2 linked regions of the Arabidopsis thaliana genome follow. The protein of the gene in region 1 purifies or fractionates together with the protein of each later gene. This does not show direct contact. Each region holds a gene or a part of one and is shown in the gene's direction. Other genes may lie near its edges.

Region 1 (16,000 bases):
TTGTTTTTGTGTGCTGTATAATTCTGTACATCATGTGATGCATCCAATGAAAATGAGAAGAATTGTTTTATATAGATCAAACTTTGAAGATTCTGATTCAAAAAGTCTATCAAGTGTTAGTGTTTCTATGAGATTCTAGTTGTAGTTGTTATCGAACGATTTGAAATTCGATTTCAAGCGAAAAGACATTATCCAACGATGTTTCTGTTTCTTCTAATGATTCTATGGATAATTATAATCTTTTCTGATAGGAGAAAAAATTAATGTTTCCCAAGTCGCTAATGAAAAATTTGATAAAATTTTATAAGATAATAGGATAATATTTTTTGAAAATCTTTGTGTAAATATATAGTCCCTTAATATTTAAATTGATAATCATATAAATTACATATATATAAATTGATATATTAATGTACTTTATGCTTTTAGTGTGTGTTTTTAATTAAAATTAAATTTTTTGTTACAGCTTATCTCTAATTTTTATTGTATAAAAAAATTATTATGTTGTGTTTTTAAAATATTGAATCGTAATATACTTTATAAATATGATAGCATTAGTTTGAAAAACTTGGTTTGGAGTGAAACATTCTCTATAGTTTTTAAATTTTGAATATATCTCATTTTTGCGTGTTCTAAAAAATAGAATATATATCATTTTCATTTTAATAGTTTTATTTTTAAGAAAAAAAATACGACAAATGAAGTCAAAAGAGTATGTAGAACTGAATTCATCTAAAGAGTTTGTATTTTTTTTTTTAATTTACATCTATCGTTTGTATAAGTGAATTCATCTAAAAGATTTGTAATTTATTATCAAAAGATGGTTTTCCTAAATATTAAAATTTTACAATATATCAAAACTATAAAAAAATGATAACATGCACAACACTAATTTTGTTTAGATAAAAATTTCTTAATTCATCTTTTAATAAAAATTTAACAATTAATTCTTTTAAAAATTATTAAATAATAGTAGATAAACTAATAATACTATAAATTAATAAAATATCACATGATCTCAACATTTTTATTTTATAGAGGTTTTACTGTATATGGAAATAAGAAAGGTAAAATATTAGTAGAAAATTTGGAAAGAATGAAACAAAGTAGAAAAACTGGAAACTAGATATATGTATATTAAAATTTTGGCATGCATGATATTACATTATACATTTTTATAATCACATTTTTTCAATTCTCTGTATAGTAAATTTTCCGTAAATCTCAGTAATTAACTTTTATTTCTATGTATCTAGTTATATATACACGCTCTTTGTTTATTTTCTCTGTCAACAGTAAAAACAACACACAAGATAAGAAGCTAAGTTAAGATCTTTGAATAAGAAGAAAGAAGTATGTCGAAAATTTTGCTCCTCATAGGACTTGCTCTCCTTGTAATCCTTGCAATTGCTGTTATGGGATACTTAATAATGAAGCGTGGTCAAGAATAGAAGCCGGATGTTTAATTTAACGGTTATGTAGTTTTTTTTTTTTTCTTCTTTCTCCTTAGAGTGTTGGGGTGAAACTATAAAACTTTTTGATTTTCTATTTGTGTTGCTCCATATTGTTATCAGTGGATAGAAGTAGGAATGATTTCTAGCTATTTCATGTGTGTTTGTGTCATAATCACCTAAGAATTATGATTTTTTCTAAATCTTATGGATGTCATCTGACCCCCTTACCCTCCATGTAAATCTTAATGACTAACTTTGAAAACAAAATTTTATACAATAAGATAATGAATTATGGAAACGAACAATTAGCTCCCAAATCCACCTTATGGGCTAGACTTACACCACACAAAAAAAGAAGAAGTGGAGACGTGTCTGTTGTTCTTCTTTATATGTATATCACCATTGACTGGTTTTATGCAGCACAAAGAGGTAAACAACACCAGCGTATGAAAAATTATGATCCGGATATTATAATACCATCTATGGATTTCACAGTCCTTAATTTAACCGAGACTAGTAGTGTTAAATGGGATTTAGTGATCAGGCTTCCTTTAAACCTTCCTGGTTACTATATGTGTCTCTGTTGGAATTGAGAATCCTAGATTAAATCCTGCAATAAGTAAAGCTTGGTTGTGAAGAACAGAAGAAGCATCGTAAGAAGAAGACGATGTCGATGTCGAGAAGAGACGTCGTGAACAAGGTCAACGACAACAAGAAGAAAGCAAAGTCAACACAAGGAGATGTTGGGCTTTGTAGTTTTGTAATAATTATACTATTGGGCTAAAGAAATAAATTAATAGGCCCAATGAATCAAAATGTTATGAAATCGGTTTACCATTCAATGGTAGACATAGGATTATGTTGGGATTCGATAGGATTAATTGAAACTATCGGGGCTAATTTTATAATTCTCTTAGGTAAAAGGTTTACTTGAGAAATAATGAGTAGTATCGGGGCTCTTATGTAAATTATCACATCTCTTCTGCGAGTTATTTTTGTTTCTACGAAGAAAAAAGAAGAAGAAGAAGAAACAACAAAAATGGCTTCTCAGAGTTCTTCACTTTTTCTGGTTATCTTCTTCATCTTCATCTACGCTTCTTCAATTCCATCCTCTATTCTCGCCAGAGCACATGAACAGTTTCGTACTTACAATTTTCTTCCAAGTTAATTTGAATCTGACGATGATCGATCTCGCTTGTTGACTCGTATTTGATTTATCGATCTCTACAGTGACGGAGATGAAGAGATCAGAAGCGTTGGGCGTAGATTCCTTCTAGGTTTCAAAGAAACTCCAAAAGGAAGTAATATCACCTTCGCTTGTTCTCCTTCAGGTCCTTGTGTCTCTTGCAATTCCTCCGAAAAGGTTTTTCAAATTTCCTCTCTAATTGCTCTGTTTTGGTATCGGATCTGTGATCTAGGGTTTCAGAACTAGCTTAATCTGATTAATCAGCGAAATTGATTATACAGTGAATTGGATTTGGTTAGGAATCTGAAGAACATTTATATGATCTAGATTGTTTTTTTGGTGATCTAGGGTTTCATAATCAATAATTTATCGGCCTAATTGATTATACAGTGAATTAGATATGGATTTAGGAATCTGAAGAACATTTATATGATCTCTTCTCTTTGTTTTGGTTGGTGTGGTTTCTTTTGTAGAGAAAAGAGAAGTATCGTTGCAGTGAAACTGGTTATCGTATTCCTTTCAAATGTAAAGAGGTTAGAGAAGAAGTGGATGCACATAAGAAAAATGGAGAAGAAGAAACACAAAATGATCAATCGAATAACAATGACGAAGAAGCGAAAACAAGGAATCTGTTGGATGATTCATCACCGGCGACGAAAGTGAAGTCTCAGTCTTACAAAACTTATAGAAGCTGTGTGCCATCTGCAGACGAAGAGAAGTTATCAGTTCTTGGTTTTGAGGTACAGAGAAACACTTACATTTCAACAAGTCGTTTCTTTTAGAATATGTGCTAATGTTAGATTGTTTTGAATAAATGGACAGTCGATTATGCTAGGACTGTTTCTGTTAAGCGGAGCTGCTATTTACATCAGAAAGAGACAGACGGTACCGATGCTTGGGGTATCATCAAGTGGAAGATTGCAAGGCAATTCTCGGTTTTGAAAGAACCATTTCTCGGTATGTAAAAGCTTTCATCTGCTCACTCAGAAACAGATTTAACATTTGTCATTGTCTGTTGAAAGATGAGATATGTTTGAGTGTATAGAATAGCTTTAGGGGGACTTCATATAATTGGGACTACTTGTTTCATATATGGCAACCATGTTTGGCTTTGATGATGTAACTTTGCTTATCGTCTCTGAACTTTAGAGAAAGCATCGATTACGGTGAAACGATGTCCTCACTTACCTTTAGTAGTTTGGTATATAGTATGATTGCTTGGTCTTGAACCTCGGTGATGAGCTTGCTGGTAGGAAGAGGTTAGTACAACTGTGCAATAGACTAGTTAAAGTAAGTAACGTATCATTCTTGAGTCCAACAGGTCCAACAGAAACCTTACACTTATCAATGTGCCTAAGAAATGTGGACCACGGTCAACGACAAACGAAGATACTATGAAGGATAGTGTCGCACCGTCAAAACTAATTTGCAGTGAGTAGAAGTATTAAACCAAATCCAACAAGTGACGTTGCATGTAAAAACGGTTGTAAAAAGTTGATTTAGTTTATAAAAAACGTATCTTCAGCATACAGTTTATCGTTAAATTTAAAAGTAATTATATGTAAATTGCGAGCGATGATAGAAATAGATTATATAACGTATAGTAATCAACAACTCTTGTAAATTCTTCGAGCAAATTTTCTCGTTGGGCAATGTTGAAGCCTGCATAAAAATAGAGACCCGAAGGATTCTTATAGACGGGAGTGGTCACCACGTTAGCAATGGAGATTGTTTACAAAGTTACCTTTTTTTTAGTATTTTAATCTCGTTAATGATAAAATGAATATGTAAGTGCCATTTTTTCAGTTACTTCGACTAGAAGCTAGTGAGTAACACACAAAGGCATAAGATTCTCAGGACAAATATACATTTAACTTTTTTAGGAAAGGTAATTTATTTTGAAGTGGGATTCATGTAAAATCTTAACAAATTTGATCGATGAGATGAATTATGCACTTATGCTTCATTGGCCCTATATTTATATAAACTATGGGATAAATTATGGCTGCTATGTGACAGTGATATAAAACATTATTCCTAAGGAACAATTTTTAATCATGGGTCTAGTCAATCTTGTCATTCTCATCTTTATTTCTGAAAACTTTAAAATGTGCAAATCTTAAGATACATAAAGAATGGCTAATGTTATTAACGCATAATTAATATGTTTTGTTAATGTACAAGATTGCTAATATCTCGACAGATCAACATATATTATTCGATGTTTTGCATAGGGGAGCTCTTATAATGATCTATTTTATTATAAATGGTACTAGACTACTAAATACATTAAAAAATAAAACGGTGAGGAATATAATAAGCTTGATCGGAACTAGGTAGATACTATATATTATGTATTGTGCCAAATTCGACATAAGGACATGCGTATACAATTAGTTATTATAGATATAGAAATTTGTGAGAATACGTGACGATAACTGTTTATGTTTATAAAATATGGTTATAAATTAGGTATGCATGGAATGGTTATGTGCTTAGCTTTACTTTTTGGATACGAAAGAGATGAATTGTACGTGAGAAAAGTACTAGAGGGAACCCTTTGTCACGTGTACTTCTAATAATCTAATATCATATGAGTACATTAATTTTAGTGATTAAGTAAATCTGCATGGAAATACACATTTGATATATATAAAGTGAAGGCTGGTAAATAAATTCCCTTCATGTCACGTTTCGGACCAGCTGTTCCATATTTCATTGTCTCTCTTTTCTCATATTTTTGGTCCTTAACAAAAAAACAAAAAGAGAATATTGCGTTTAATGTATATAATTATCCCTGCTATATATATTTATATTATTTGGGATATAATGAGGCGACATAAAAATACGGATTCATGCTTAAAGATAACACTAGTTATAAAATCTCACAGAAATATATAAAGATTCATAGCAGAAAATAATTTCTCTCTCTCTCTCTCTCTATCCTATAATGTTTCGAGTAAAGTTTGTAAAACATATTGAACAGAATAAAAACCATCGAACATATAAAGAACACCAACCATCCTAACTCAACAAAGTGATAAGACTCTCTTTCTTTCTCTCTCTCTCTCCATCTCCCTCTCTTTCTCTTGCTTTTGTTGTCACTCATCTTTGTTCTCTATTATAGTTTCCATTCAAGAAAATCGAATATAAACCCTACTACTTCGATCGATGTTCATATCTGTCTTTATTTCAACCAACCAACGAAGATAGGATAAAAACATATCCACAAAGGCTAGAAACCATGCGAAATAACCATTCCCTTCGTCTCCAATTGTGGTTCCGTACACTATTTACTGTTGGTGTAGTCACTCTTCTTATGATCGATGCGTTTGTATTACAAAACAACAAGGAGGACGACAAAACAAAAGAGATTACTACAGCTGTGAACATGAACAACTCCGATGCCAAGGAAATACAACAAGAGCTTGAAGATGGTTCAAGGAACGACGATCTTAGCTACGTAGCAAGCAAAAGAAAAGTGCCTCGTGGACCTGATCCTATACACAACAGGTTCTTACTACTTTCTCGTTTTATTTTATCACTTTTAACTAATCCTTACCCCTACCTGCATATATGTGTCTTGGATGTTTCTGTATGATATTTCATTAATATATAATAATATATGACATAAACCCGTGTGTGGTGCCACATTCATATTAGTTAGGTCTAAGTTCAAGGGCTATAAGCCTAAAATTCTCTACAACCCCATATTAGATTCCGTTATGTTCAAATTATACGCGTGGACCACTTGGTCACTTGCATTTCGACCATGGTGTTGTTTAACATGTGGTTTTTACCAAGGACATGCTCTTAGTATGGTCTAGATATAAATTCGATATTGAGATTAATGAATGACATCTAGAAATGACTATATTAGATGAAATCAAGCAAGCTAACTCGTTGATTGTCTATATGTTTATGCATGTTATAATAAGTTTTGTTTCGGGTCACCATAAATATACTTCTAGCACAATTTTACTAAAAAAACAAACACTTTGTTTCTTTTAACTAACTCAGATTCGGTGAGACATATCACAGAAGCTCGCAAAAGGCTGTCTGCTAGCTTTATTCAGTCTTTACGTTTAACAATCTATTTTTAATTATTCACTATAAGATGGCTTCTTTTAAAAACTTTCTTTTTTCCTTTATGGAAGCTTTAGCCCTTTGAACACTCCCTTTTTTTTCTTAGTTATATAGGTAACCCACTTATGATCACAGTTAATTCCATGTAGATCGTATTAAAGTAGTCTATTGACTAAATCACTAAAATATCAATTAATGAATTAATGTTGTATGATTTGTTATCGTTTATACGAAAGTAAAGAAAAACAAGAAAACATGACTTGGATTAAGTAACTCTATGTTCTGTCTTAATACAGGAGAGCAGGGAATTCAAGACGACCACCAGGAAGAGCATAAGTACGGTTAAAGCTTGGGTAAGAAGCAGAAAGAGAGAGAGAAGTATAATTGTTGGCAAATTAATATAGGTCTTGTATTGCTGCTAGATTCTCTTTTCCTTTCATTTGGGATCGAATCTTTTAAATATGCGCAAAATATTTGTGACCCTACAATTCTGTTTTTTTTTTTTTTAAATGTTTGTTTTGTTCCTATAGTGAAGAAATATTGAGCTAGTTAGGGGAGGTTTTAAAAAAATGAAGACACTGATTATTAAAAGGATTTCAAGAAAGAAAAGAAGTATACGTACATGCAATGCAATCCTGTTTTCTCACGCATTGCACGACTTATATTGGGATTATTTCTAATTTGATCCATCATCAAATAACGTTTAGATGCTTTATTTCCTTACTCACATTGTTTATTGGGTACTTGCACTAAATGATCATTAACATTTATTAAGTTAGGTAAATAATTGTGTACTCCTTTTATGTGCAAAAACACAAAATGGGTACTATTTTATTACTAACATGCTTTCTTATCAAATAGCAGTACCCTATGTTGTTCTAAATAACATGCTAATTCAATTCAGATTTGGCAGACAAAATAACATGGTATTTTAGAGAGAGCGCGCACAAGTGTGTTTTTTTAAAACAAATGAAAACATCATAATTACGTACCTGATTGACCCTTGTGTATATATTCACGATTAGAAATTGTAGATTACCAAAACACTCGCACAAAATGGTTCTATATATAGACAATATATGATTCTTATCACATGTTTTGAATGAAAAAAAAAGAATTAAGATGGATTTTTTTTTTGTAAAGAACAATTGTACTTTGAAAGAGTCTTATCCAATCATTAAAAAAAATGTCGAATCCATTATTTATTGATGTATTCTGAAAGCATATATTCTTCCAAAGGGGCAAATAAAAGAGATGTCGACAAAGATTGGATACATAAGATATTAATAATTTATAAATGCAATGGCATATATATATGATATAATTTGAGCTCTAAATGCCGAAATTTGAAAAGGAGAATGTGTGTAATGGTTCTTACAAATAAAGGAGACCACAATGCTTCTTTGTGTTATGCTTTTTTCCCATCTTTTATTCTTTTGTTCTTTTGTGGGGTTAACTCTACCACTACTCATTTTCTCGCTCTTTTTTCACTTATTTTCCATATATTTCTAATTTCTAAATTAATTTTACTAATCTTGAAATACAAAAAACTATTAGACTTAGCTTACTAATTTACTACACCACCAACATACACACTACGCAACATATGCTAATATGTATTAAAATGAAAAGAACAAAAAATGAGAACCGGTATTACAATTTATCGTAGTGTATGACTAGTTATGAGATGAGAAGGTTCTTGAAAAAAGAATTACTAACCAAATAATGTAGATTAATTATTTGCAAATAAAGAAAAGCAAGAATATATAGCAAAATCATGAGTTTACGGTTCGGCTCTATAAAATCTTCTACAACCATCCACGATAAACTTGATACATGAAATGTCTTCTTCCATTAAAACATGAGTTCCACATATAAAATGGTTTACAAGTAACTCTCGAACATATGTGCATGGTAAAGCAAATATATAATACCATTATTTTTTCTGTCTTAATTAAGCAAAATTAAACATATATATAATATATGATCCCTACATGTTCACTTTTAAAGTTCACAATTTCAAGAGTTTGAATATCTTTAATTTGAATTATTACCAAACGCATTAGACAGACTAAACAGAGACATAATAATCAATCAACTTCTTTTTGTCTTTTTTTTTTTTTTTTTTTTGGGCTTCCAGTCTTCATAATCAAAAGTAACTGAAGACCAGTCTTAAAGCTGGAACATTTGAACTAAACATATACGACTGCTCCTATCGCTCTAGAAATTTTAATTAACAATTATTCATAGTTACTTAATTACAAAGACAACAATAAAGGTGAACGAATAAATTAAAGGAAAATTATGAAAATAGTTTAATTTGTATGAAACTTTTCATCCGCATACCAAATGTCATATACTCTTATCTTACATTTTTCTCTTGGGACATATTTTTGGAGCGAACACTTTCGCATGTACGATAAGGTTCAGTGGTCTGAGCTTCGACTACGTTAAAATGATGATTAGGGTTTACTAATTTGGAATTAGGAGTTACATTTAAGGTTAAAAGTTTATGAGTTTCAAGTTTCAACGAAGCTTTAAAGTTTAAACGATGGTTAAAGTTTTATGATTATGGTGGGCTATGTTATAGTTCTTTCAATTTCGTTGGGCCAAATGGGCTAAACGATTAACGACCCTATGAATGGGCCTGAAAAAATGAAAGCCACGTGTCAGACCCCCACAATGGACTTTGACTCGGTGCGGCTGCCGGAGAGAATAATTAATTATCAACTCCGATGAAAAGAAAACAAATACAAAGTTCCAACAAAAATCGAAATTCACAATTTCTCTTCTTCTAAATCCATGGAGTGATGATGATGATAGATAGATTGAATCCAAACACAAACCGGATCCGAGATTAAAAACAATCCGGATTGTTTATATTTACTTTAGATCGGAGAAAGATGCCGCCGGCGACCGGAGATATCGATCGTCAGATCGAGCAGCTTATGGAGTGTAAAGCGTTATCTGAAACGGAGGTGAAGATGTTGTGTGAGCACGCAAAGACGATTCTTGTGGAAGAGTATAATGTTCAACCGGTTAAATGTCCGGTTACCGTCTGCGGTGATATCCACGGCCAATTTTACGATCTAATCGAGCTTTTTCGTATCGGTGGTTCTTCTCCTGATACTAATTATCTTTTCATGGGTGATTATGTTGGTGAGAGTCTCTCTTTACCTTATAGCTTTTTTTAGGGTTTCTACATTTCTCACATCTCTTGATTTGGATTTGGGTATTTTCCCTAATTTGGATTTGATTTTGTTGACCTTTTGGGGCTAATGTAGACTTATTTGGAAGTGTTTACTAGAAATGGATAGATTATTGTTTATCTATCGAAAAGTTTTGGTTTTGGAAGATTTTGTCATTGAAAAGACGAAACTTTTGTTTTAGCTGTTAACTATTCTCAGGGCTTCTACAATGGAGTAGCTTGACCTTGGGAGATATAACATTTTAATGTAGTTTGTGAAGCTTCATGTTCGAGTACTCGGATTTGTGTTTCTCTTTTCTCTGTTTAAGTGCCTTAAGCTCCGTTTCCTACTTAAGTTGCTCAATTAGCTAACTAATGGATCATTGTTAAACTTGTGAAGATCGAGGGTATTATTCTGTGGAGACAGTCTCACTTTTGGTAGCACTGAAAGTTCGTTACAGAGATAGACTTACTATCCTAAGAGGGAATCATGAAAGCCGTCAAATTACTCAAGTGTAAGTTGTTTTCTCTACTAAGTTTTGTATTATAAGCTTCTCAGCCTCTCTCAAAATGTTTCTTGCTGATTGCTTACCTTTTTCAGGTATGGGTTTTATGATGAATGTTTGAGGAAATATGGAAATGCTAATGTATGGAAGCACTTCACTGATCTTTTTGATTATCTTCCACTTACAGCTCTTATTGAGAGTCAGGTATTTAAAAAACTAATGAGCGTTTTCACTACCTTAGACAATCTCTTCTCTGTTTCTGCTGTTTTGGACTTGACTACAGAACTCTTTTTTTCTGTAGGTTTTCTGTTTACATGGAGGACTTTCACCTTCTTTAGATACACTTGACAACATCCGATCTTTAGATCGAATTCAAGAGGTTAGTTCCAGAATCCAAACCAACAAAAGGATGCACCTTACTTGATGTTTACATAACGAGACTAAGATGTTTGTGTTGCCTCTAGGTTCCACATGAAGGACCAATGTGTGATCTCTTATGGTCTGATCCAGATGACCGATGCGGTTGGGGAATATCTCCTCGTGGTGCAGGCTACACTTTCGGACAAGATATCGCTACTCAGTTTAACCACACCAATGGACTCTCTCTGATTTCAAGAGCACATCAACTTGTCATGGAAGGTTTTAATTGGTGCCAAGAAAAGAACGTTGTGACTGTATTTAGTGCCCCAAACTATTGCTACCGTTGTGGCAACATGGCTGCGATTCTAGAGATCGGTGAGAACATGGACCAGAATTTCCTTCAGTTTGATCCAGCTCCACGTCAAGTCGAACCCGAAACCACTCGCAAGACTCCAGATTATTTTTTGTAAGTACCAAAAGAACTAAAGCTGCAATTCCACACACTAGCTCTTCGTCTCTTTTGCTTCTATTCTTAACCACTTTTTGTAATTTCATATTCCTTACGTCTATTTCTGTTTGTTAAACTCTCCATTGTCTTTTAAAATCCGTAATTTTTTGTGTGCAAAGATTCTGGTCCAAGTAACTGAAACCGCTATCACCAAATTCTATTGAAGCCAACTTTGTACAGAGAAATGATGATCATGTTACACAGCAAAAGCCCTAGCTAGGTAGATATAAATATGAATGTTGTGGAGAGGTACAGACAATAAACAAACAAGCTGGAGCTGAGATCTAATCTATAGAAAAACAACACTCAGATCAAAATAAGATGAATCGAGAGTTTCAAGAGCTTTCTAGTTCGCTTTGGATCCAATCTTGTGCACACATCAAGGCTTGCACGGTACTCGGTCTAAGCGAACGCCATGTTTCACTAACCCGTCTCCTTTGACAAGTTTCAAAGGCGTCTTCTTCTGATGATACATTCAACATTGGAACTGCTAACACGTTACGTGCCATCATGGAGAGAATTGGGTACTTAGGTGTGTGAACTTTCCACCAGTTCAGGATGTCGAAATCTGAATTCCGGGGAAAAAGTGGCTCTTCTAGATACTTTTCTAGATCTGATTTAGAGTCTTGACCCGGTGTAGTAGTTGTTTCGTTAATGTACCTATCGAATTCTGTGAGTCTATCGTCAGGCTCTTTCCCATGGGCAACACCGTTTGACCGATGATGATGATTCTGCCAGTCAAGAGCTTGATTTGACGACGCTAATAGCGATCCTACAGAATGCTCATCGTACAGCAGTTTGATGCACTCAGAAATATCTTCAATGAGCTCTGAAGCACTAGTACCATAAAACAGAGGGTAATAGTATTCAACCAGCTTCATTTTGAACCGCGGGTCTAATATGGTAGCGATGGCTAGAACCAGGTAGTTTTTATCCCAGAAATCGTCAAATTTCTTTCTCATGTTTACAACTAGAGAGCTAATGAAATCATCCGGGTTCTTGCTCCACTCAATTAACCGGAGGTGTATGTCGCATACCTCTGGGAAGTACATATTGGCGGGTAAACAACTGCTCTTTGTGAATGCATTTATCACTTCAACAAAGACTTTCAAGAACTCAACAATTGTTCCTAATCTCTCCCATTCCAAATCAGATGGACATAACACGGAATCAGGATCATGTTCATTCATGAGCGAAAACGCGCTCTTTTGCTCTAAAGCATTCTCCAGCATGGTGCATGTTGAGTCCCATCTCATTGGGTCATCGATGCATAGGTTCCTTTCACTTACAGCTCCCGTTTCAACTATCCACTGGTTGAATCTATCTTGAATAGATTCTGAGCTTTTAACATATCTAATACTCTCTCGAATAATGTTTATTGTGTCACAACAAGCTTCCAGGGAATCTTGAACCATCTCGTTAATGACATTAACTCCACAGCTCACATCAAACAATTGGCCGTAACAGTAAAGGAACTTATTCTGCGATAACCGGTCTCTGATTTTACTAGCTACGTTCTCACTAAACGGAGGAGCATGACTCGACGCCATAGAAAACAACTTCCGGTCAATATCCCACTCCATCAAACACGTCATTATAACTTCAGCAAGCATCTCACCACTATGAGATGGATCAACCATAAAGAAGTTCAAAACTCTCTTTTTCAATTCCCATCCTTCATCAATATAATGCGCTGCCAAACACAAGAATTCATCAGAATCACCCGAACCACTCCACACATCAACACTAATACTAATCTTCCCAGGTAACTTATCCAACGCTTCGAAAATCTTATGCTTCTCTTTCGCATAAATCTCCATACAATCAGATTCAACTCTTTCAAAAGCAACAAGCTCAAACAAAGGCTGTAAATTTCCAATAAACATTCTGAATCCAACATCTTCAACCATACTCAACGGATAACCATGTAAGATAATCATCCTGGCTAAATCGAATCGACACCGCCTCTGATCCAAACCCATACTCACAACATTAACATCTTCATGTTCTTCTTTCTCATGTTCATATCTAACATTCACTACACTAAGCACTTCTTCATCCTTTATCCGCTCATTAGCTAACTCTTTCTTCTTCCCCTTAACGAAATACTGAGCAACACCGTTGTTGTTACCATTAGTTCTCCTCCTACATCTAATCAAATGGTTCCTCAAATGCGAAGTCCCGCTCGCGCTTGAGCCGCTAAGTCGCTTCTTACAATGCCTGCAGATTGCAATGTATGTCTCACCTTTTCTAACTCTATCGAAATCATTCCACACTACTGATTTCAATCTACCAGATTTTACAATCACTGCATCTGACAAATCCATCTCATTGTTTATCATCAGTTTCTTCTGTCTCCTACACATGTAAACAAATAGCAGAATTTTCACCAGATAATTCGAATTCAAACAACGAAACCAAGTTACACAAAACCTAAAATCTCATAGTTTCCATTTGCATAAAGCTTTTAAGAAACCATCGAATTGTCAAGAAAAAAGGTTAGAATCTGAGCTCTAAAGCACATGTACCTCTTCATTCAAGTCGCAGCGGTAAGCTTCTCACTGGTGGTTTAACGGCGGCGAAGTCTCTCAGTGTCGGTGGTCGCGGCGGTAGGGTTTTAAGAAGAGGAAGAAAAAAAAGCTGAAAGCTTTTCTGTTAGCGAGAGATATTTTTTTGAAACGGCGAACAAAAAGTAAATTTACGAAATGAGACCTTGGATTCATGTAACTTTAGAAATATAGCCCAAAGTTAGTTTATCATCAAAATTGTCCTTTTTTTTAAATCTAATATTAAATTATATTCAAAGAAAAATAAACTTTTATACATGTAAATGCAAAAGACTTTTCTTAAAAATTAAAAGAGATATTATCGATGGTGTTATCTTGTCAAAGCAAACCACGTTTGGATCCCGCCTTTGTATTTCTCACAACTCCCTCTCCTTGTTGTCCTTAACTGGTTTCTAATGTTTTTGTCTATCAAATTGTACTTTTTCGATTGCTTATGTTCATATAAACACACTTCTCTCCACGTCGCAAGGTTTGAGCCTGAACGTCTGCGATATGTTGTTCATCTTGTCGAACATAGAGCCGCTTTGGAAGCTCGCAGTCACTGCTTTGAAACCCCTCTCCGCGTTGTTTAAGTAACTAGAGTTGTATGACTCAGCTGCTTTTGAATTGTGGAGCCGATATTGAGGCTCAGAATGAAGTTGGACATACTTCTCTAAGAATTGCTCTTCAAAAATGAAAATCTCGATCTTTCAAGTAAATTTGTTTATCTTTTAAACTTTGTTGTGAGTCTTTGTAAATGAAAAATAACATGTTTATGTCCTCTTGATTGCAGCTTCTTCTTGAAAGAGGTGTCAATCTGAATGCTTTTAATTTTTATTTGCATAAAGCTTTTAAGAAACCATCTTTATAAATATAGCCCAAAGGTATGTTATTATCAAAATGGTGTTGGTGAACATGTTGATGTTGTTACCTCCTCGGATGTGTCTCTCGACATGGATTTAATCAAATTTTTTTTTTAAATTGTTTTTTTAATAAACTTATGGTACATAAATTAACAGTTGTATAGTCTTATCAAAATCACAAAAAAAAAAACGATGTAGTAAAAATATTAATAGTAAAATCTATCAAGAATTAATAAAATATTTTGAAAACATACAAAATTCCAAGAGAAATTATAGCGGGTTGCAAAAATGGATCACCACAAACAATAATAGCAAACGAGAACAAAACTCAAAACAATTTAGGTCTCTGAAACAGTATATATACTCATGGCCATCTTTCCATCAAATCATCCAGAAAAAAAAAACGAAAAAAAACAAAAAAAAATAATAAAACAAAAAAAACTTTTTATTTTTAAATAAAAATAAAATAAAAAATGGGATACACAAATGTGTCCATTTTATTAGGCCTGTTGATGGTCTTTGTTACACCGATGGTGTTCGCAGATGATGTGACACCAATCCCAGAGGGCAAACCCCAAGTGGCGCAGTGGTTCAATGCCAACGTTGGTCCATTGGCTCAACGTAAAGGCTTAGATCCTGCTCTTGTAGCTGCTGAGGCTGCTCCACGTATCATCAACGTACTATTCACACTTATTGTCTTAAACTCATCCTTTGTACCAATAGATTTTGATACAATTTTTTTGAAAAACATGTAAAAATTATTGCAGGTGAATCCAAAGGGTGGTGAATTCAAAACACTAACGGACGCAATAAAGAGCGTTCCTGCAGGGAACACAAAGCGGGTGATCATAAAGATGGCTCCTGGTGAATACAAAGAGAAGGTCACTATCGACAGGAACAAACCCTTCATTACATTGATGGGACAACCCAATGCCATGCCTGTTATCACCTATGACGGTACCGCCGCCAAGTATGGAACCGTTGATAGCGCCTCTCTCATTATCTTATCCGACTATTTCATGGCCGTTAACATCGTCGTTAAGGTAAGTGATCCTACTATATATCATACATCTATGTGACTAGTCGACTATTTCATGGCCGAGTGATTTATTTTTTTGCATATGTAGAACACTGCGCCGGCACCAGATGGTAAAACTAAGGGAGCACAAGCTTTATCCATGAGAATCTCCGGAAATTTTGCTGCTTTCTACAACTGCAAATTCTACGGTTTCCAAGACACAATCTGTGACGATACAGGAAACCATTTCTTCAAGGATTGTTACGTTGAAGGAACATTCGATTTC
Region 2 (15,027 bases), on another chromosome or scaffold:
CCAATGCAAGTTGATTACACGTGCTAGTTTAAAAGTTGAGGCTATTTTTGTAACTTTCTATTGAGAGGATTTTTAATAAGTTTATACCTCTCTCCCTTGTTCACGAACCCGTAACCCTAGCCGCCTTCAAAAATTCCCAATTTGTTTTTTCAAACAAACTTGCTCAGATCCTCTTCTTCTTAGGGATCAATCTTCAAATCAATTGTAAGTTTCTTGTTTCTTATAATTCTATCTTTCGATTGATACCTGTTTCGATATCTTCAAGTCTAGTTTTTTTTTTTTCAATCGAGTTTTTGATTTAGATCACAAATCGACAGATCTGTTTAGGCGTTTTTCTGGGTATCGATTCTTTTCAACATCCATGCCTTAATTTCAAGTTTTCCCCAATTTTCTTAACCCTAATATTTATGTGTTCATCAGATCTGCAAATTTATTTAGGGCTTTTGTTCCTCGTGCTGAAAGTTAATCGATTGTTTGAATTTGGACTCTTGATTTCATGTTTTTAGCCGTGGATTGAAAAATCTAGGGTTAGGTTTTCGAATTTGGGGTTTTTTTTTTATTTTTAATATCTGTTTAAAGTTTGACTTTTTGACTAAAAATTAAAAAATTACACTAATACCCTAGATTGTTAAATCAATTCAGGTTGTTAAAATAAATGGGATTAAAGCGACCTTATGATGCTGAAGAGATGCAAAAGTGCAATGCTAAGCATGCAAGACAGCTTAGTTACAAAAACCATAACCAATTTGACGAAGCTATTCCATATCATCATGCTTCTATGGAGAAGAAGACAAATGTTTTAGGTAACAACCCGAAACCCTTTTAAATGTTTAAATTCATATACTTTGTTCTGCTAAGTTTTAACTTTGGACGTGACTTTGTTGCAGTAGAGGATCTGATTGGTCTCTGTGAGAATCCTACGTGGACTAATGATGCAAATCACGTTGACAAGGGTTTTGAAACAACCGGTTTGTGTCAGGAAGATTCTCAGTCTGGAGTGACGACTCAGTCAGATCTTTCTCATCAATCTTCTGGTTCAGATTTCACCTGGAAGCCAGTGGAAGATGTTTATACTTGTTTGATGAATCAACCTCCTAGGAAACAAGTTCTTGTTGGGTCTAATCATCAAGCGGATATTCCCGAGTTTGTCAAGGAAGAGATTCTTGATCAGTCAGAGGCTCGAACTAAGGAGGACTTAGAAGGGAAGCTGATGAGAAAGTGTGTGATACCAATGTCTGACTCTGACCTTTGTGGAACCGGTCAAGGAAGAAAGGAATGTCTTTGCCTAGATAAAGGCTCTATTAGATGTGTGCGGCGACATATCATTGAAGCCAGAGAGAGTTTGGTTGAAACTATTGGATATGAAAGGTTTATGGAGCTAGGGTTATGTGAGATGGGGGAGGAAGTTGCGAGTTTATGGACAGAGGAAGAAGAAGATCTCTTTCACAAGGTTGTATACTCCAATCCTTTCTCAGCGGGTCGTGACTTCTGGAAGCAATTAAAGGGAACGTTTCCTTCAAGAACCATGAAGGAGTTGGTTAGCTACTACTTCAATGTCTTCATCTTGCGGAGACGGGGTATTCAGAATCGGTTCAAAGCCCTAGATGTTGACAGTGATGATGACGAGTGGCAAGTTGAATACAACATTTTTAACAGCACCAAATCTTTAGATGAGGAAGACAACAATGGAAATCGCTCCTCATATGAAGATAACGAGGAAGAAGAAGAAACCAGCAGCAATGATGATGATGAAGAAGAAGAAGAGGAAGACGACTCATCAAGTAACGATGCTCATTGTGTAGATACGGATAAGGCTTCAAGAGACGGTTTTGGTGAAGAAGTAAATGTGGAAGACGACTCATGTATGTCCTTCGAGTTACAAGACTCCAACTTGATCTTCAGTCACAACCCAATCAAAAACAGAGAGTGCCACAGATCTGGTGAAGATTCATATTCATTTGATGATCAGAGATTCACATCAGATTGTTGGAACAAGAACAACGATCTACTACCAACTTCAAACATTATTGAGGAGATATTTGGTCAAGACGATTGGGGAGATAAAGATGATAATAACTTGAAGGAGAAGTAAATAAAAAGTTTTCTTCTCCTCTTTCATGGATTCTGCAGATTTTTTTTTTCTTAAGTGAATTAGATAAAGATGCAGAAGTTTGAAAGTTTCATCTTTAGGAGTTTTGTGTTGGTTAAGGTTGAAGAAGAAAGGACTTCCTGATTGATTTGACTCTGTAAAAAATGCTATTCAAATCCATGAACCTTTTTTTCTCTAGTTGTTTTAGTCCTCAAGATCTCAATGTACATTATTATGGTATAAAAAGAAAAGAAAAAAAAATGCTAAGTTATCCAAATTTTTGTTTGCAGCTTCAAATGTCTTAACAGTGAAAATCTTCTCTAGATATGTTTTGCATATTTTGAAGATGACAAATGAAAGAAAATAAGAATTGTGACAACAAAATTGTTCAAAAATATATATTAGCAATTGAGAAGCTCTCTTTGAACCAGGTTCACTTCCACACAAAAGAGCAAACAGGTGAATCATGTTGATGCAATTTACCAAATTAATGGATATGTTTTACATGAATAGGCAAAATGTGTGAAAGAGTCCTCACCAAAAGAAAAAAGGTGTGAAAGAGTAGCTTTCAAAGTCCAAGGATAAATGAAGGAGCTTGTGAAAGTATTTTCAAATACATGTATCAGCTCCACTGAAAATTAATGACACTCTTGAGAATTTTATCAATTAATAAGTCTCTGCTTTTTTGTTCTTTCCTTTAAGTTATGACGACACCAAACTAAACCAGCCAAGAAATTTGCAGCAGAAGATAGAGAAGTTATAAACATGAACCAGTTCTAATATTTCGCTTATAATTGTGGACAACTTTAGGATCTTTGCACGCGGTTTAATAAATTCCACGAACTTTCAGATAGATAACTTAGCCTTCTTCCCGATGATGTGCTAGTGAGCATCTTTGCACGCGTCTCAAGATTGTACTATCCGACTCTAAATCTCGTCTCCAAGAGCTTTAGATGTCTCTTAGCTTCACCAGAGCTATACAAGGTCCGGTCACTCTTAGGCAACACCGAGAGTTGTCTTTATGTGTGTTCACGGTTCCAAGATCGTCATACGAACACTACCTGGTTCACCCTCTGTCGGAAACCTGATCAAACCCTAACCAATGGCACCATCAAGAAGTCAAGCGGGTATGTTTTGGCTAGAGTCTCAAATTTACATTCTCCTCCTTTGCACTCTTCTAGTCTCGTAGCTGTTGGTTCTAATATCTATAACATTGCAGGATCCAGCTACCTAGAGTCCTCTTCAAGCGTCTCCATTCTTGATTGTCGGTCTCACACGTGGCGCGAGGCTCCAAGCTTGCGTGAGGGGCTATGTTCTGTTTCTTCTAGTGTCCTTGATCGAAAGATATACGTAGCAGGAAGTTGCTTGGATGGTGATTCTTACACCTATAAGAATTCGTTCGAGGTGTTTGACACTGAAACACAATTTTGGGATCCTGATACCATTACTTGCAGCAAGACGGAAGGCGATTTTTACGGATGCGGAACCGCATGCATTGACGGAGAGTTCCATGTGGTGCCTGTAGGTCAAAAAAGAGAGGCGGTTGCTTACAATTCCAAGGAAGGTAGATGGGACATGGTTGGCCAACAAATGGATCATTATAAGTTTTCAGCTTCTTGCGAGATACAGAATGTTTTGTACTCTTGTACTCATGGAGTGTTCAGATGGTATGACACTAACGCAATGATGTGGAGAGATTTGAAGGGTTTGGTAGGACTACCTATGTTCGGTTCTGGTGCCAATGTTAAGTTGGCTGATTATGGAGGAAAATTAACGGTTTTGTGGGAGGAGGAGTTGCCTTCTCGTGGACCTGATAGCGGCTATAAGAAGATGATTCGGTGTGCAGAGATTGCGCTTGAAAGGCGCAAAAGTTGTGAAATTTGGGGGATTGTTGAGTGGTTTGGTGATGTGCTTACCGAACCTGTAGGATATGTTGTTTTGGAGAAGGTTCTTGATGTTACTCTTTGATGAAACTTGAATGTGTTTTCTTTTGGAATACTTGTGTGTTCTTTTGGTGAATGTAACTTCTGATGAATGAGTCTTGTCTCTTGTTTCACTTCTAATAATTTGATATACAAATCTGTGTGGCAAACAAACAAACAAACAAACAAAAACAAATCAGTTGAATCATGTCTCCTCGTTTTTCACTTGGATCCAACTACGATTAGATGATCCAACTCCAGATTCTTTCTTTTTACGACTAAGAAAACCGACAAAGTACCCAAAAATCACTCCCACAACCATCACACTTGCTCCTTCAATGTACCACAAGACTGCAAAGTCAGATTCTGATCCAAAGTTTGAGTCTTTAGTACCATCATCACTACCGCTAATAACTTCCCCAGAAGCCAAAATCTCAACAACATCATGAACTTCTCCGTCATGGTTTCCCACATAAGAAAGAGTAAGTCTTTCCTTATTAGCAACCAAACGAATGTACCCAAACTCGCCTCCACGGTACATTGAGTTAGCAGGCTGAGGAAAGATCGGGACATCCTCGTGATTAGCTCTCGGTTCCCACATCGGTTGTGAGTCTTTTCCAGCCATACCAATCACAAGATGAACTGGATTTCCTTGCCAACGTTCACCACAAGTATTGTTACTAATCGCACAAAACCTTTCATATCTATGTACATGTCCCCATAAAGCAACCGTCACATTGTTCTTCACTAACAACGGTTCCAAATGCTCGATCATCTTCTCTCTTATAGCAGCGTCTCTGATCTTCCTACTCGTAGTGTACATAGGTCTATGCCCTTGGACAACAACAAACGGTGTCTTACTCCTATTAACAGACTCCAAATCACTCTTCAAAAAACTATACTGCTTCCCACCTTTAAGAAAATCAGTCTCTGTCGAAATATAAACGAAATGAACAGAACCCATATCATAAGAATAGTAAAGGTTCCGACTTTGAGGTCCCTTAACCATACCAGTAGCTTCCGTTGAATTACCAGGCATGTTGAACTTAACACTATACGGTACACCACATTCACCACCACTATCTTTACCATAAACATAAGCAGCCCAATCTGGTTTCCAAGGCTGGTTAGGCCAATCATACTCATGGTTACCAATACATACATGGTAAGGCACTTTAGAAGCAATAGGCTCAATCTGAGTAAAGAACTCATCCCAAATCCACGAGTAACCTCGTGCATAACTTATATCTCCGATATGTGATACAATCACAGGCTTATCATCACCTAAAGCTTCAATGTCTCTTAAAATCCATTTCACAGTTGATAAACTTTCTTCTTCTCCACGGATAAATGTTGTATAAGGTGTATAACATCCCATATCACCAAACATGAAAGCTAATGTTTCTTCTGAACCCTCATTTCGAGAAACAAAGCTATGAATCTCACTCCATCCTTTTAAATCACTCCCAACCTAATCAATAACAAAAAAAAAAGTCAACATTTTGATTCTCAAAACCCCTAAAAATTCAAACTTTAAGGTTTTTTGATTCTACTTACCTGATAATAATACCTAATCCCTTGTTTTAGATTCTTCATCACGGCATCGAATGTCCAACCTGGATCTCTCCATCCGACTGTAGAATTCGCCGGCGCGTGACACATATGTTCTATCTCGTACCTAACTCCACGCGCCACCGCTATGTTATCGAGCTTGTCCTTAACCTCACCGTAGCGAGCTTCTCGTTCTTCTCCATCTCCGGTTACAAACACTACTCTCATCTCGTTGATGTTATCTGTGTAACTTAAATGAATCTGCTCCGGTCGGTTAACAGCGAACCGGAAATTTAACTGGTTTGATTCGGTTAAGAGATGACGAGTTCCGGGTAAAGGATTGTGATCATGGTCTTGGTGTTTCGGGTTTATTTCGGATTGGGTCCAATGAAAGATCCGGAAAGTGTAATTTGATCGGAGATTGGTTAAGGGAAGTGAAATCGAACCCGACCCGGATTGCCACGTGGGTGAATCGGAGAGGAATTTGTAGCCGATGAAGTGATCGTGAGGAGAGTCCGGTGGCGAGTAGATTCCTAACCAGTCGAGATCGGACGGTGATTCGACGCCGGACCATTTGATCACGACTATGTCGCCGGATCGGTTTAAGGTTTGGGGAGAGATTGAAATCGTGGCTTTGGAATAAACAGAGGAGATTAAGAGGAAGAAGAAGAAGAGAGTGTAAACGGCGGCGATCATGATTTACGGCGGAGGATGGTGGTTAGTCAAAAAGTCAACGTTTGTTTTTTCAGTTTTAGTTGGTTTTGGGGTTTTGGTGATAATTAAGAAGAGTTTTTTGAGTGATTATGAAGTCATTGTTTGAAACCAAACCTGATTTATGACTTTTCACCTTCAAAAGACTATGCTATTTTAGATATAAAAAACATATATTATGGAACTAATTATTTATTCCAAATTTACATTTTATCAACCAGTTTAATTGTCAAATCATACATAATTTATTGTTTTGGAAACCAGAGTTGTCATTAATTTGTTAAGGTATATATGTAGGATATGGTTAATGCTTTGTCTCTGTTTCAGATACAAAATAGAGGTTCCATTATAATAAATGTGTAATCAAAAAAGCATAAAATCTCACTTATGACCAAAAAAAAAGAAAGCACAAAAGCTCACAAATTTAGAGTATGAATAAAAAAAATTAGTAAGGTGAAAAAATGGAACAGGGGAGATTCAAAGGGGTGACCTGAGAACACAAAACTCAATGGTTTCAATGGAAATTTGAAGAAACCATAGGATATGTGTTCACATGCCACTCCTTTGAAATTTCACCTCCTGTTGTTCTTCTCTTCTTCTCCATACTTTGCTTTCACTGCTTCTTATATATACTATACTACACAAGTTTCTACATATATAAATACAGTTTACTCTTCTTGGTCTTACTTAGATTTTTGTTCACTTCTGTTCTGTCATAATAATGTGGTCATCTTGTTGACAAAAAATTAGTAAGTGTGATGGAAATGACCACATCCTTTTCTTCACATACGACAACGTTCAATGGAATGTATCAAACAAAGTTGGGCTCAGAATATATATCTAATAATGGGCTATTAATGAGCCCATATGAGCTCTCTTCTCATAGGCCCATCCAAAACTCATCTAAACTCTGCTACCAATCTTCAAATAGTTTAATTATTCTGCCGACAAAATCATAAATGGTCAAAGAGTTGGATAGTCGGACGAACGTGGCATGAGGACCCATTTTTCCGTGCCACTCATCAAAACCTCAACCAATACTAAAACTTTTAAGTGTAGTAAAATACACCAAATATTACTTCCCTATAAAGTATAAACTCTACATTTATGATGAAGAATCCAAGATTATACTAGCATTTACATAGGTAAACAAATACCCAAAACTAAAAGTACCCATCCACCAATAAAAGTAACTCTATGATCAAGAATCAAAGATAATAAGAAAGAATTTATCAAGACCGGTTATGAGGGTCGACTTTTGCGAAATGGTCAAATGTAATCAAGCATCTTTTTTACGTAGGAAGAGAATAAAATTCACTCACTAAAGTCGAAAAGTAGATCTAAGGCGTAAGAATCGTGACTATAAATATCCCATTAACTAGTGGATAAAGAAAAAGAAGACCAAAAACTAGTGGACAAAGAAAAAGAACAAAAACCTAATTTCAAGAAATTCAATAAATATCATCCTCCGGATAAGTTGTTATTGTACGTTTACCAAATTCAAGAACAAGAAAAAACTTTTCCTTTGAAACAAAGAAACATGGATTTCTTCACCGATCAAGTAAAGAAGAAATTCTCCGACAAGAAACCGGAGAGCTCTGATCCGGAGCCAAACCACAACAAAAACAAACCCGGTCACACGGAGCCAACAACACATAAACCCGGTCACGGCGAGCCAACAACACATAAACCGGTCTCCAACACCGATCCAACAACACACAGACCGGCTACGAACGCTGAGCTCATGGCTAGTGCCAAGATCGTAGCCGAAGCTGCTCAAGCCGCTGCTCGTCACGAGTCAGACAAGCTTGACAAAGCCAAAGTCGCCGGAGCCACCGCTGATATCTTAGACGCCGCTTCTAGATACGGTAAGCTCGATGAAAAGAGCGGTGTTGGTCAGTACCTTGAAAAGGCTGAACAATATCTTCACAAGTACGAAACTTCCCACTCTCACTCCTCCACCGGTGGAACTGGAAGCCACGGTAATGTTGGAGGACACGGTGGTGGAGCTGGAGCACCGGCGGCTAAGAAAGAAGATGAGAAGTCCGGAGGTGGTCATGGGTTTGGAGATTATGCTAAGATGGCTCAAGGTTTTATGAAGTGAGTAATGTTTTAGTTTCTAAAAATAATTATGTTAGTAATTATCTTCTATAATTACTGTTTTAGTAAGCTGTTGTTTTTTCTGAATTATTATTAACTGTTGGATTTGTCATTTGTGTATGATGGAGGAAATTATGATGTTAAAGATCATGTATCATGTTGTTGACCACTCGAGATTGCGTTAATCAAATATTTGTATAATTAGAACCGAACTTTAAGTTATGGGAAGTAATACTAATTAATATCGAATTTAAATGGACCGTCTAAAAATAAATAAACTAATTATTATCCTGAGAAGAAGGAGGAAAAACACAAGAAAATGATAATTTTTAGGTTTTGGCAAATAAATTAAACCTAATGTATCGAACTGAAATAGGAAAGCAAAATAAAGTCAATCGAAACAAAAATTTAAAAATAATTACTAAACATTATAATCAAAAGAATCGAAACTTGAATTACTACGGAACCAAAATATTTTGGATAATCAAAAATATCCGAAATCTATAAATACATTTTTGCAGCCATTTTAACAAATAAATCTTAGAGTTGGACTTATTTACAACTCAATGCCATTAGCATTAATTTTTTTTTTCCGAAATAATTAATTTTACTTTAAATTCTTAATTTAAATTGTCAACCACATTATCAATCAAATTTAATCCAAACAAACTTCACATCAATCCCTTAAAATTAGCATAAACGTATTTGTTAACAATATTTTAAAACAAAGTTTTTTGTTTAAATAAATATTATTCTTACTAAACGTTTTTTGTTTAAATAAATAAATCATGTATTTGAACTTATTTACAATGTCATGCTACTGAAATTAATTATTTAGAAAGAAAAATATTTAATTAACGATTTAAATCTTCTAAATCTTTGCTTTTAGAGTTATTATGTCATTATCTAAAAAGCAAAAATATTTTAAAATATTTATATATTTAAACTTTATAAAACATTATTAATATTTAAACTTATAAAAAGTTTAATATATCAAAAATTTTAACATCATTATATAATATATAGTTTAAAAAAATCTCAAAAAAATTTCCGTCATATTTTGTGATTAAAATTTTTAAAAATGAACATATATTAACCAATTGGCGAAAAAATGTGTGGGTTCAACATCCCGCATCGACTAAAATATTTAGACAATGATTCATAAATAAGATCAACATTAATAAAATAAATGGTTTTTTTTGCAGAACGGGTTTTGCGAGACGGGTTTGGGAGGACGTTACTTAATAACAGTTGTAAACTATAAAATAAAATATTTTATAGATAGATACAATTTACAAATTTTTATATATACTAACTTTAAAAAATAAATTGTCCCCGCGGTATACCGCGGGTTAAAATCTAGTATAATTATATTTTCTAAAATATTAATTATTTTTGGATCAAATAAAATAATTAAAAATACCTGAAAATAGATAAAGTAGTAAAAATACTCAAAAATAACCGAAAATGTCCGAAAATATCCAAAAATAACCGAATATCCGAATATATTCAAAGCAAAATAACCGAATGAATACTAAATTTTGAAACCAAAAGAACCAAAACCGATAGCGAAACAAAATTTCAAAATAAGCGAATGAATACTAAATTTTAGAAAAATAAACTGAAAACCGAATGAATACGAACTGAAAGCGGATAGATAAACCAAACGCAAGTCCTGAGATTGTGTAAAAGGCCCATAAACGGGCCCAATATGCGAATCCATTTTGTTTTCTTGTTGGGAAATTAATCTTTTTCTGCTTATTTTAGGAGAAATTGTTTTAATTTTAATTTAGGGTCTCTTGTCTTTGATCTTTTGTACACTTTCTCTGGATTTTCTGAATTCGAACTTTGGAAGAAGAAGAAGCTTTGATCAATCATGGAAATTGCAACCGATACAGCAAAGCAGATGAGAGACGAAGAGTTGTTCAAAGCAGCGGAATGGGGAGATTCATCGTTGTTCATGTCATTATCTGAAGAACAGCTCTCTAAATCTCTCAATTTCAGAAACGAAGATGGTCGCTCTCTCCTCCATGTCGCTGCTTCCTTCGGCCATTCTCAAGTTTGTTCCTTTCTCTTTTCAATCATATTAAGAACTAATCTGTGGTTAGATAACCTCTTTGATTACTATAGCTGCAGTAAATAGGTTGTTTAACTGATGAGAAAGCCTTAAGGGAAGTTTTTGAGTCTCGCTTTGAAAACCACACGAATCTGCGTTGTTTGGGTTCTTGAGATTAGTGTGTTTTAGGAACAGTGTCAGTATGTGTAAAAATGTTTATGGATGTGGGATTTGCAGATAGTGAAGTTGTTATCAAGTTCAGATGAAGCAAAGACTGTAATCAATAGCAAGGATGATGAAGGATGGGCTCCTTTGCATTCCGCTGCTAGCATCGGTAATGCTGAGCTCGTTGAGGTGCTTTTGACCAGAGGTATGTTACATAATCTTATGTGCCTTATTGTTGTTGAAACGGTGGTAAAATCTTGTTTTGCTATCATAAAGCTGTAATCTTTATCAGTCCTGAGTAGTTGATCTCTTAATATCTAATAGTCCTCCATTGGAATTGGACATATAAGTTCCTACTGTGAAGTAGTTCTTCCAGTGTTTAGCTCTAACTTCAATTCATTGCATGTATGAGAAGATGGATACATTTGATGACATTTTCTTTGTGTTTAGGTGCTGATGTCAATGCCAAAAATAACGGTGGTCGCACTGCTCTTCACTATGCTGCTAGCAAAGGCCGGTTGGAGATTGCTCAGCTTTTATTAACACACGGTGCAAAGATTAACATCACAGACAAGGTTTTGTAGCTTCTTAATGTCTTGTTGCTTGTGATCATCAACACACAAACAAACTTTTTTTTGTGTGGCTTTTAGGTTGGTTGCACTCCGCTTCACAGGGCAGCAAGCGTGGGAAAGTTAGAAGTTTGTGAATTTCTTATTGAAGAAGGAGCAGAGATCGATGCTACGGATAAAATGGGTCAAACTGCACTCATGCATTCAGTTATCTGCGATGACAAACAGGTAAAATTTTCAATCTAATCAACCTTAAAAGCAACATTTCTTTAAAGTTAAAAGTTTCCATGGATCAGGTTGCGTTCCTGCTTATAAGACATGGTGCAGATGTGGATGTAGAAGACAAGGAAGGCTACACTGTTCTAGGCCGAGCTACCAATGAATTCCGACCTGCACTTATCGATGCTGCTAAGGCCATGCTTGAAGGATAAAATGACTCTGGATTACTTTAAAACTTACTAACTCTGAGAGTTGTTTAGTTACTTAAAAGGATTTTTCTTTACTGTATCATGTTTGCAAAATGTTTCTGCCTTATCAATTCATGTTCTGTCTTTAGAAATTTTCTCAAAAGCAATTTTGGAAACAAGTGAGAAAAAAGTTTTTTTTTTTGTTTGGTTAAAAATTATATATATCCTTCTTATCTCCTAAGAGTCACTTACCCTCCTCACAAAAATCTAAAGGCAAAATGATGCAAACAAAAATCTCTTCTTTCTCTCGACCAAGCTTTAGTCTCTATGAACCAAGAGTAATTCATCATCCTCGTATCTCCATGGCTCTATCATCATCAGCACCATCCCCGTTTCACCATCTTCTCTGCAAGTCCACCTTCCCTCTCGCTGCCTCACTCACCCTTCTCCTCTCTCCTTGTACCGGTAACTACACTACTACTCAATACTTTTCCTGTGATTCAATGTATATGCGTGTCATCATCATCAGCATCATATGTATATGTATGGATGGTCCTCAGCTGAAGCAGGCTTAATGTCGGGATCTCCCGGTATAGAATCAGTTCCAGGTCCTGAATTACCAAAAATCGAGTTCCTTGACCGTTTCAATGGTACCAATCTTTCAATTTCTTGAATTCAAGAACAAAAAAACTGTGTTTCTCTGCTCTAAGAAAAAGCTTGCTAATTGCAGCAAAAAACCAGAAGTTCTACGCAGAGAACGATGCCAGATTCAAAGATTCTCCACTTCTCAAGAAATTACTTGAGAATTCCAAACTCAACAAAGAAAAGTAAGTTACTTTACACACACCCTTTTGGTCTTTTATGATGTAACAGAGCCAACAATGTGCAAATCTTGAAACTTTACATATACCCTTTTGGTCTTATAAGATGTAACATTGTAACATGTAACATTGGTTTTGGTGTTCTGTTTTGGTTAGGAATGAAAGAGAGATTCAAGACAAATATTGTCTGAGAGGAGCAGAATGGGGAGTAGGAGATTGCTCAACCACAGGAATGACAGATGAAGAAAAGGAGAAATTCATCACAATGTTGAAAAAGAAGACTGGTGTTGAATAAAACACACATCATTGTATTTTTTTGTTTGCAAGAATGGCTTTAGAGAGAATCATCTATGCTAATTGTTTAAGTCACAATCCAAATCCAAATGGTTACAAAACAAAAATACATGTAGGCATCGTGTACAAACAGGTTTTTTCTTTTTCTTATCGATCTGCGGTTTTGATATCGAGAAGAGAAAGTGTAGCAATCTCATTCATAACCAATGCTTTATCAGTTTCAAAACCTACATCTTCTTTCTCAGGTTTCAAATCAGCAAACAAACGAAGAATCTTGGTCCGATTCGCCACGAGAATCGCCACGATATCCTCAGGTTTGTTCTCGTTTGCCACAAAGAGTTTAAAGATATGAAATGCTTCTAACTGAATGTTCTTGGTTGGTTCTCTTAAAAGATTCATCATGATTCTCAAATTATCCAAACTGCTCACATACTTTACCATCACACCTGAATTCGAACGATCCATCAACACATCTCCAAGCAATTTCGACGCTTGTCTCTTCGTAAAATAGCTTCCTTTCTCCAACAACTTGGTGTTATACTCTGCGAAAAACCATTCGTAGTTCTTCGCAAGATACTCCGCTACAGTCGATTTATGCCTCGTCAAAAGCTCTCTGAAGATCTTGCTAGCATCGGTAGCTACATCGAAATACGGAAGCTGAACATAATCGAAAAACTTCTCCAAATTCTTCGATTCGAGTATGTACTTTGCAACAACCTGATGCCGCACACATTCTTTAAGCATTCCCGTGTAATGCAACGCCAGCTCATGGTCGTGATCGATACCTTCGACTAACGAATCGATAACATCTAAGTTCGATTCAAGATATTCAGAAGCAACGAGTCGAAATTCGACTTGTTGCTTCTGAAGATTCGCGACAATCTGTGTCGCGTCTTTTCTTGCTTCTAGGTCAAGTTTTGGTATAGATTTGATCAAAGGACGAAGCGTGTCTGCTCGGAAAAACTCTTGAGTTAACAAAAGACAAGCTTCAGGAACAGGCTCAGCTTCACCATTACCATAAAGAATCGATTTCAAATCTCTAATGTTTCGACACAACTCCGCACAAATCCCTAACCTTTTCGAGTTTCTCGCATCGGTTTCTTCTTCTTCGGATTCCGCTAAAGCGATGAGATCTCGAGTCTGACGTACGATTTCACCAGGAAGACGTGATTTGTTCTTGAAGAGACCTTTCATTCTCGTGCTTCCTCCATGGTTTCCGAGGTTCCCGCTTAAACTGCTAAGCTTCCCGCTAAATGTGATGTTGATGATGGATTCATCATCGGTGGATCCGACGCGTAGATGGCTCCGTGTACGGCGGTGCTTTGACGACGGAGCTAAATCGGAGCTTCCGTGTCGTTTAGCACCACCGATTATGGAGACACACGCACCTATGTTTCTCCTTTTTGTTGACCTCAAAACAAAGTACAAAAAGAAAAACAGAGCAAAAACAAAATCTATGCCTTTCTCTATCTTTTTATTCTAGGGTTTGTTCAAAAGCTTTTTCAGGGGTTTCGCTGTGAAATCCAAAAATGTTGTTTCTATGAAATCTTCTTCTTTGAAGAAAGGAAGAAGAAAGAGACAACAAAACCTAAAAATGGAGTCTTTGATTGGCTAATTTTGCCGCGCTGAATTTTCGTTGTGGTTAGTTTGAAGAATCTTTGATGTCAATTAGATATTAAACAATTTTTTGAAGCTTATTATTCTACACAGTCCATATCTCTAGTCAACTAATTATCTAATTATGTTTTCTCTAAATTAATAATTCTTCAAAATTTTAATATTTTAAAATTGTGTCTATTCATTAAAAGTCTTTTGTTTTCATACTTTTTCACAAATAGTTGCATTTTTTCACCACAATTGTTTTGCTAATTATGTTTGGAGTTTTTTGTTATATCTTAATTCTCTTTTAGATTATTGCATATATCATATGTTTATCTAATACTCATGTTTTTAAAAAGGTTTTATCTATTTTTCTTTATAATTTTAGACAATTACCAAATTTTTCATGAAATTTATTTTTAGAATGTATATTCATATATATGTTTGATTTTTAAATAACTACATTCCTTCTATACTTTCAAAACTATTTATTAGCTTATATCATATTAAATTTGAAAAAATTCACGGACTCAACAAATTTTGCAGATAGAGAATGAGATCACGTATGATGCAGAGTGATCTCGACTCTCTATCTACGAAAATTGATCTTAGCTTGAAAGATTATGGATTTCTCTATATAAGAAGACATGTGACATTCAGTTGAGCACCATATTGTAGGCATGAACCAAAACTTAACTTACTTAGCATAGATTGTTGATGTGTGTTTGGATATGTATTTATTT

The links.
Region 2: the proteins of PP2A (region 1) and NRP1 purify together in Arabidopsis thaliana (affinity purification with western blotting, with the first as the bait; one study listed by BioGRID). This does not show direct contact.

The regions. Positions count from the first base shown.
Region 1 is NC_003070.9:26,344,141-26,360,140, reverse strand, and holds PP2A (serine/threonine protein phosphatase 2A), read left to right. Parts: upstream 1-9,443; 5' UTR 9,444-9,629; coding exon 9,630-9,885; intron 9,886-10,313; coding exon 10,314-10,428; intron 10,429-10,514; coding exon 10,515-10,623; intron 10,624-10,720; coding exon 10,721-10,798; intron 10,799-10,883; coding exon 10,884-11,249; 3' UTR 11,250-11,420; downstream 11,421-16,000. Other genes in the region: AT1G69980 (structural polyprotein), read left to right, coding at 2,494-2,591, 2,685-2,817, 3,114-3,380, 3,463-3,582; CLE26 (CLAVATA3/ESR-RELATED 26), read left to right, coding at 5,885-6,241; PPME1 (Pectin lyase-like superfamily protein), read left to right, coding at 15,170-15,373, 15,464-15,739, 15,824-16,000. UniProt on the Arabidopsis thaliana protein: Associates with the serine/threonine-protein phosphatase PP2A regulatory subunits A and B' to positively regulates beta-oxidation of fatty acids and protoauxins in peroxisomes by dephosphorylating peroxisomal beta-oxidation-related proteins.
Region 2 is NC_003071.7:1,032,759-1,047,785, reverse strand, and holds NRP1 (nodulin-related protein 1), read left to right. Parts: upstream 1-7,601; 5' UTR 7,602-7,813; coding exon 7,814-8,377; 3' UTR 8,378-8,698; downstream 8,699-15,027. Other genes in the region: AT2G03470 (ELM2 domain-containing protein), read left to right, coding at 656-803, 888-2,092; AT2G03460 (Galactose oxidase/kelch repeat superfamily protein), read left to right, coding at 3,192-3,216, 3,309-4,057; PAP9 (purple acid phosphatase 9), read right to left, coding at 4,217-5,482, 5,569-6,258; AT2G03430 (Ankyrin repeat family protein), read left to right, coding at 10,250-10,432, 10,667-10,799, 11,045-11,169, 11,245-11,391, 11,460-11,594; AT2G03420 (uncharacterized protein), read left to right, coding at 11,849-12,035, 12,131-12,220, 12,301-12,397, 12,548-12,686; AT2G03410 (Mo25 family protein), read right to left, coding at 12,833-13,879. UniProt on the Arabidopsis thaliana protein: Prevents accumulation of abscisic acid (ABA) after heat treatment, thus reducing thermotolerance. May be a negative regulator of the ABA signaling/synthesis pathway.